2 linked regions of the Cricetulus griseus genome follow. The protein of the gene in region 2 interacts with the protein of the main gene of each other region in a pairwise test. Links are inferred from orthologs where the notes say so. Each region holds a gene or a part of one and is shown on either strand. Other genes may lie near its edges.

What was found. The genes of interacting proteins can lie anywhere in the genome.
Region 1: the proteins of Kcna3 (region 2) and Cav1 come close enough for resonance energy transfer, tested with the Homo sapiens proteins (2 studies listed by BioGRID). The link is inferred for Cricetulus griseus from reciprocal best matches to the Homo sapiens genes KCNA3 and CAV1.

The regions. Positions count from the first base shown.
Region 1 is NW_023276806.1:209,233,763-209,238,101, reverse strand, and holds the start of Cav1 (caveolin-1), read left to right. Parts: upstream 1-1,526; 5' UTR 1,527-1,635; coding exon 1,636-1,665; intron 1,666-2,181; exon of another isoform or gene 2,182-2,312; intron 2,313-3,057; coding exon 3,058-3,222; intron 3,223-4,339. UniProt on the Homo sapiens protein: May act as a scaffolding protein within caveolar membranes. Forms a stable heterooligomeric complex with CAV2 that targets to lipid rafts and drives caveolae formation. Mediates the recruitment of CAVIN proteins (CAVIN1/2/3/4) to the caveolae.
Region 2 is NW_023276806.1:50,098,072-50,101,449, reverse strand, and holds Kcna3 (potassium voltage-gated channel subfamily A member 3), read left to right. Parts: upstream 1-1,177; 5' UTR 1,178-1,277; coding exon 1,278-2,864; downstream 2,865-3,378.

The DNA.
Region 1 (4,339 bases), about 160 Mb from region 2:
GCCAATGCAGGATACTTGGAATCAAAGAGCATCCTTTTTCTGGTGGTCTATCATGCGCGTTGGCACACAGGTTGATGAAAGACTTTAGAAAAGGTAATTTAGCAGACATAAAACCAAGGAAATTTGCCTTTTGGAAGATCTTTAATCTCATGGTGAATAATAGCTAGCATAAGTGATGTTTATCACACTTGCTGTCCCTAGTTAAAATTGATCCTTTTATTTTTACAACGTATGACTAATCACCCTTATTTGATCAGTATAATACATGCAAGCATTGAAATATCACATCATTAGCATATGGTCATCACATGCTAGTCAAAATAGTTAATTCAAAAACTGGATTGCCTTTTGTCCCCATCAGCAAGGGCCCAATCTGCTGATGTCATTGCTCTTTCCATGTCTTCTTTCCAGCCAGATGATCAGGTGTTTTGGGGTGTCATTCTCTATCCTCAGACACGTGTTTCCTCTTCATCTTCCCCCGATCCCATGTTCCTGCCTCCTGGTAGCCATTTTTTAAATTTATCTTCTGCCCTTTCCAGTGTGCTATGCAAGGGTTTGTGTATGGATGCTTAGGTAAAAAACATCCTTCTCAGTTTATGGCGTGTGAATTTCATACCTGCTGCCTTGTGTTAGTTACTCAATTCTTTAGCAAGAAGCAACTATCGTCTGTTTGATTTTTCTTTACAATAAAATACAGGAGGTTGGCAGATTTTGAAACTGATCTATTAGTTGTTAACTTAAAAAAAAGTCTAGTCATTTTGTCAAAACCCATCTCCTCTCACAGTTAAGCATATCTTTCTGGGCAGGCGTCCTTTAGAACTGAGGATGTAGTTTAGTAGTAGAGTGTTTACCTCCAGGCAGAATGCCCAATGCCCGGATTTGATCTCAAGCCAGCAAGAAAAACCCACTCTGGTAACGAACCTGAACCTCTAACTAAAATTTTCTACAGTTGAAAATGTTCAAAGTACTTATGATTACGGCACAACCTGTTGATAGAAATTTCATTTTCTTTTTTGTAGAGATTGATAATGACTTTACCGGCACCCACACAGATTCCTTCCTTGTGTTTATATGTAAAGTGCTCCTTCGGGTTCCCAGTCAGAGACAGCCCAGTCCTGGGAGATAATGGAATGTGGGCGAAGTTGGGAAGCAGCTTAGGACAGGGCAGAATTCCTCCTGCCGCGCCGGATGCCCATACTGGGCATCTTTGCAGACTCTTATGCTCCCTCCACCCCTGCTGAGATGATGCACTGGGAAAACATTCGCTCTCCCAGGGATGCCTCTCTGTTGGTTTATAGCTGGGAAAACGTTGCCCCGGGTCTAAAATATCTGCCCAAACAGCCTAGCGCTGATGAAGGCTTTCTCACAGGCTCTCAGCTCCCCGCGGGCGCTCCCCGCCCTCTGTTGCCAGAACCTTGGGGATGTGCCTAGACCCGGCGCAGAGCACGTCCCAGCCAACTGAGAGAAGAACAAACCACTGGCGGACAGCCAAGAGGCTCCCTCCCAGCCACCGCCCCCCCGCCCCCGCGCCAGCGCCTTTTCCCCCCTATACAATACAAGATCTTCCTTCCTCAGTTCTCTTAAATCACAGCCCAGGGAAACCTCCTCAGAGCCTGCAGCCAGCCACGCGCCAGCATGTCTGGGGGCAAATACGTAGACTCCGAGGTAGGCTTGGGTGAGGGCGCGCCGGCTCTAAAGTGCCTGCTTTTGCTATCTCCCACTCCAAATGCTCGGGCTGCTTTCCTGGCCCCAGCCCTCTCTCCACCTTCACAGCACTCCCCTCGTGCTGGCACCGCTGAGGAATGGACCTGGGTGGGGAGCTGAAGAAAAGCCAGGGGTGTTTTAAGGCTTCCTTTTGGAGAGGCGACCAATGGAGCCCACCGGGCAAAGGAGGGTCGGGGTGCCGCGTTGGTAGTCGGCCGGACTTAGAAAAGTTTTTCAGATGGCACCGTTAAGACCCCCCCCACCCCGGACAAGCCCCTACTTACTGGGAGGCTGAGAGCTGGTGCAGTGTGTGTGTGTGTGTGTGTGTGTGTGTGTGTGTGTGTGTGTGTGTTGGGGTGGCGTCATTTGGCCACAGTTCTAAGGACAGTCCCCATCAGGAGCCTAAAGTGGCTGGCCTGGGCGGTGGCGCGCGCGTGTTGCACTTTGAGCAAAGTTCTAGAGCACTTCTATAATTTCTGCCCCTGGGCGGCGGCCGGGATGGGGGGTTCCGAGGTGGGGGACCCTCCTTCCTCAACAAGTACCACCACCATTGGCAACTACTTCTTGGCACTCAGATAGCATAAAGGTGGAGACCTCGGTTCCCAAAGGTGACTACCGTTCAGCCTCGGGCAGACAGCCTGGGGGTGATCTAAGTAAGGGTGGGTCAGGGAGTCCTTCAGGTGAGATGTCTTCCAGAACATTTTGAGGGGTCGGGCATATGCCTCGGCTCAGAGATGAAAGTATGATAGCTATCCACGCACCTCATCCACCCCCACGGCCTAGGGAAAGCCGTGAAGCAAAAGGAGCTAAAGGGTAGGGGACGCGGCAGGTGCGGAGGAAGACGCAGGGAGAGACAGAGAAGATGGGACCAGCCCCTGTCTGTATGGTCCAGTGGGATCTTAAAGATAACGGTGGAAGGGATCGGGAACAGGATTAACAGGGTCAGGACGGGTCAGTGGAGCAGGTGAGGCTCTGGGGACGCGGGTGGCCTGGAGGAGAGAAGGGGTACAGAGCAGGAGGAACGCGAACCCCCTGGGCTGGGGAGTCGCTGCCAGGAGCTGCAGGGAGCAGGAGGGCGAGCATGGGGCTTCGCCCTGACCCCTGGCGGCCGGCGAGGGAGGCAGGCGCTCCCTGCCTGGTACCGAGGGGTGTGGTGTCCTTCCCTCCGTCCTCTTAAAAAGCTTGCGGCACTGGAGTTTTCTGTGCGCAAAGCCTTCAGGGTTGAAGTTAGCCGAGACTTGGAGCTCCAGGCTCCCCCGACAACAGGCTGACTTCTGACGCTTGTTTTTCTTTCTGAACTTTTTTCCCACTGCCTTTGCCATCCTCCCCTGGCTTGGCCGGCTGCCTTCACAGGGACATCTCTACACCGTTCCCATCCGGGAACAGGGCAACATCTACAAGCCCAACAACAAGGCCATGGCAGACGAGGTGAATGAGAAGCAAGTGTACGACGCGCACACCAAGGAGATTGACCTGGTCAACCGGGACCCCAAGCATCTCAACGATGACGTGGTCAAGGTAAGCCATGGTGGCTGTCTGGGTCCCACAACCCTTCTCTCTCAAGTAATTGGGCGTCCTTTCATAGCTTTGTCACACTGGCACTGTTTCCTAGGCTTGGCTGTATGTGAACCCCTGGTCCCTTGTCAGAAAGGTCTCATCTGCCTTGCCTCCTCCTACTAGCTAGTTGAACAGAAATTTAGCTAAAGTGAGCCTTGTGGGAGTTCACAGAACCTCAGCCACAGGTGGGCCCCCACATTACTTGGGAAAAGAAGATGACTGTGGTCCATTGCCAGGTTAATAGTCCAGTGACAGGTAAATAATAGTGTGCACCACGGTGAAGGTCAGAATACAGTATAAGCATATTCCTTCAGCTAAAGCAATCTAAAGTGATTAGATTAAAAATAATAAATGAGTGGAAATGCTTAAAACTATCTTATATGTATATATTTTGTATGCAATTGCATATATATAATATACATATATATGAATAGGGTTTTAACTATAAAAACACAGCACATGTACAAGGCTAAGCCAATTTACCAAACTGAAAATAATTTCCACCTCTTAACTTCTGGATCCCTCTAGTTAGATGTGGAAAGATGCATCTGTGGTGACAGCCAAGGTCAGCCTGCCCTGGGCTAGCAGAACATTCAGGTTGGCGTTCCATTTTACACTTTGAGGATATACTTGCTGGGGTTTAAAATACATTACTTTCCTGGGTTGTTGGCCGAATGTAGACTTGACACAGTGGTCTGATTTTCATTATCATTTTGTTATTCAACTTTGACCCTTTTAGCAATTCTAGCTCAAGGAATTTATTGTCTGAGTCCGTGTGGGTTGAGAAATACTGGACTTGAGCTGTCCTTGGCAGAGGATTTCCTCTGAGTGGCCTGGAGGGCCAAGGAAAATCCTGGCCTCGGGGTTCCAGTGGGAAGGAAGCCCCTGTCCTGCCCAGCCGCTAATGCAGGCACCACTGAGGAGCTCATGGAGTTTCCACCCACAGACTCCTATCTATGGATGGGAGGAGCTCCAGTGCAGTTTCACCTTTATGAATAATATATTTTAGAAAGGGAAATGGTTTAATCTACAACTGGAGGGAAAGTGTACCTGTGAAAATTCACTCTCTTGTTTTGCT
Region 2 (3,378 bases):
GGGGAACAATGAAGGCTTTTCCACATTAGCAGCTAAAGCAAGTCCCACCACAAGGGCAGGTGGCATTGTATTAAATAAAATCTAGGTTCCAGCCTGCTCATGTCTGTCCCACAGCAGACAAATAATTGAGTTATCTAACCACACAGATGAGGTGTGATGGATTTTCTTTAACATTCCCCTTCTTATTTTCCTACTGAAAGTAAATTGGACTTTTAAACTCAGGCTGCCCTCGCTAATCCCAACCAGGAACTTAGTCCTGATTCTGTCCAGGGTGAACCAGCCTTTACAAAAGTGAAGTCTCTGAATGCCTTTAAGGACCCTTTCTTTAGACCCCTGTGAAGACTTCAGACCCTATGTACCCATTAATTCAGTTGGGCTTCCTGTCCAAACACAATCCTTTACAGCACCTAAACACGGGGTTCTAGCAATCTTCTACCCTCCAAAATCGGGATGCTGGCCCCAGACTCACCTCTTGCCCACGCTAACCTCTTAGCCTTCGCTCTCTCCTCCCACAACATTCTGGGTCAGGAGCCCTGGCACCTCCTGGCCCTCCTTCCACCTTTGTCTGCTCCCTACTCTCCTGGAACTTGCCCTTCCTCCTGCCCAGGCAAAGTGTGAAGGGCCAGGAGGCCTGAATCCGAGGGCCGAGGTGTGGTCCTTGAACAGATCCAACAACCCTGAGATTGGGACTCGGCCACGCGCGGGAAGGGAATGCACGCTGTCCAAAAGCAAGTGCAGCCCAGGAATGAGGAGGCCAAGCCCAAGCAGCTGGGTTTTTCCAGGGCCGGTCTGGCCGGGTAGCGAGAGGTTCAGGAGGGTCTGGGGAAGAGGGTGCAAATTGGAAGAGATCCAGTGACAAAGAACCGCAAGGAGCGCGGCCGGGAAGCGGGAGGCGGGGCGCGTGCGCGGTGGGCGGGAAACCCGGGGGCGGCGGCGAGGCGGGCGCGCGCCCCGCGGGGAGGGGTGCGGAGGAGGGAGGAGGCGTCTGGACCGTGCAGCCCCGCGCGCCGAGCCAGCTCCAGACAGAGCATCGCTGCAGCCGCCGCAGCAACAGGCGGCGGGCCGGGCTCGCGGGGCGGAGGCGGCGGTGGGGCGGGGAGCTCGAGGAGGAGCGACTCGGGGCCGGCCACCTCCTGCAAGGAAGAAGAGCACCGCCGCCTCCCGCGCTCGGCCACCGCAGCCCTCCACCCGCCACCGCGCCCACCCTGCGCAGGACCCCGCGAGCGGCGGGCGCGCGCACCCTGCAGAGCCCCGGCCGCGCCGAGCTGCCGCCAGACATGACCGTGGTGCCCGGGGACCACCTGCTGGAGCCAGAGGCGGCGGGTGGCGGCGGTGGGGACCCGCCTCAGGGAGGCTGTGGTGGTGGTGGTGGTGGCGGTGGCTGCGACCGCTACGAGCCGCTGCCGCCCGCGTTGCCCGCCGCGGGCGAGCAGGACTGCTGCGGGGAGCGCGTGGTCATCAACATCTCGGGGCTGCGCTTTGAGACGCAGCTCAAGACCCTCTGCCAGTTCCCAGAGACGCTGCTGGGCGACCCCAAGCGGCGCATGCGGTACTTCGACCCGCTCCGCAATGAGTACTTCTTCGACCGCAACCGACCCAGCTTCGACGCCATCCTCTACTACTACCAGTCCGGGGGCCGCATCCGCCGGCCGGTCAATGTGCCCATCGACATCTTCTCCGAGGAGATCCGCTTCTACCAGCTGGGCGAGGAAGCCATGGAGAAGTTCCGTGAGGACGAGGGCTTCCTGCGGGAGGAGGAGCGGCCCCTGCCCCGCAGAGACTTCCAGCGCCAGGTGTGGCTGCTCTTCGAATACCCCGAGAGCTCGGGGCCGGCCCGGGGCATTGCCATCGTGTCGGTGCTGGTCATCCTCATCTCCATTGTCATCTTCTGCCTGGAGACCCTGCCCGAGTTCCGCGACGAGAAAGACTACCCCGCCTCCCCGTCGCAGGAAGTGTTCGAGGCCACCAGCAACAGCACGTCGGGGGCCGCCTCTGGAGCCTCCAGCTTTTCGGACCCCTTCTTCGTGGTGGAAACCCTGTGCATCATCTGGTTCTCCTTTGAGCTGCTAGTGCGGTTCTTCGCTTGCCCCAGTAAAGCCACCTTCTCCAGAAATATCATGAACCTCATAGACATTGTGGCCATCATTCCTTATTTCATCACTCTGGGCACTGAGCTGGCTGAGCGACAGGGTAATGGGCAGCAGGCAATGTCTTTGGCCATCCTGAGGGTCATCCGCTTAGTAAGGGTCTTCCGCATCTTCAAGCTCTCCCGCCACTCCAAGGGGCTGCAGATCCTGGGGCAGACACTGAAGGCTTCCATGCGAGAGCTGGGGCTGCTCATCTTCTTCCTCTTTATAGGAGTCATCCTTTTCTCCAGTGCAGTCTACTTTGCTGAGGCAGACGACCCTTCTTCGGGTTTTAACAGTATCCCGGATGCCTTCTGGTGGGCAGTGGTAACCATGACAACTGTGGGTTACGGTGATATGCACCCAGTGACCATAGGAGGCAAGATTGTGGGCTCTCTTTGCGCCATCGCAGGTGTCTTGACCATTGCACTGCCAGTTCCTGTAATTGTTTCCAACTTCAATTACTTCTACCACCGGGAGACAGAAGGGGAAGAGCAAGCCCAGTACATGCACGTGGGAAGTTGCCAGCACCTCTCCTCTTCAGCTGAGGAGCTCCGAAAAGCCCGGAGTAACTCCACCCTGAGTAAGTCGGAGTATATGGTGATCGAAGAGGGGGGTATGAACCACAGCGCTTTCCCCCAGACCCCTTTCAAAACGGGCAACTCCACTGCCACTTGCACCACGAACAATAATCCCAACTCCTGTGTCAACATTAAAAAGATATTCACTGATGTCTAATATACGATTCAGTTGACAAACTATGCCCAGTATTATGTGGAACGTGCCCCCTTGGTCTGTGTGTGCCCTTGATTTATACATTTCCAGACCATTCATCAAGGAACGGACGTGAAGAGGTGGAAAAGCACACTTCATCCTCCCTCTCCCTATTGCTTCATACTGTGTTTAAACAGGTGCCTGTTCTGCAAGTGGGCTGCATTCTCTCAGCTCTCTCTCTCTCTCTCTCTCTCTCTCTCTCTCTCTCTCTCTCTCTCTCATTCTCTCTCTTTCTCTGTGTGTGTCTCTCTCTGTCTCTCTTCTCTCTCTCTCTCTCTCTCTCTCTCTCTCTTCTCTCTCTCTCTCTCTCTCTCTCTCTCTCTCTCTCTCTCTCTGTCTCTCTCTCTCTCTCTCTCTCTCTCTCTCTCTCTCTCTCTCTCTCTCTCTCTCTCTCTCTCTCTCTCTCTCTCTCCTCTCTCTCTTTCCCCCGTCTTTTAATTTTGTAACCAACAAGCTTACATTAAAGCTTGGTTTCTAG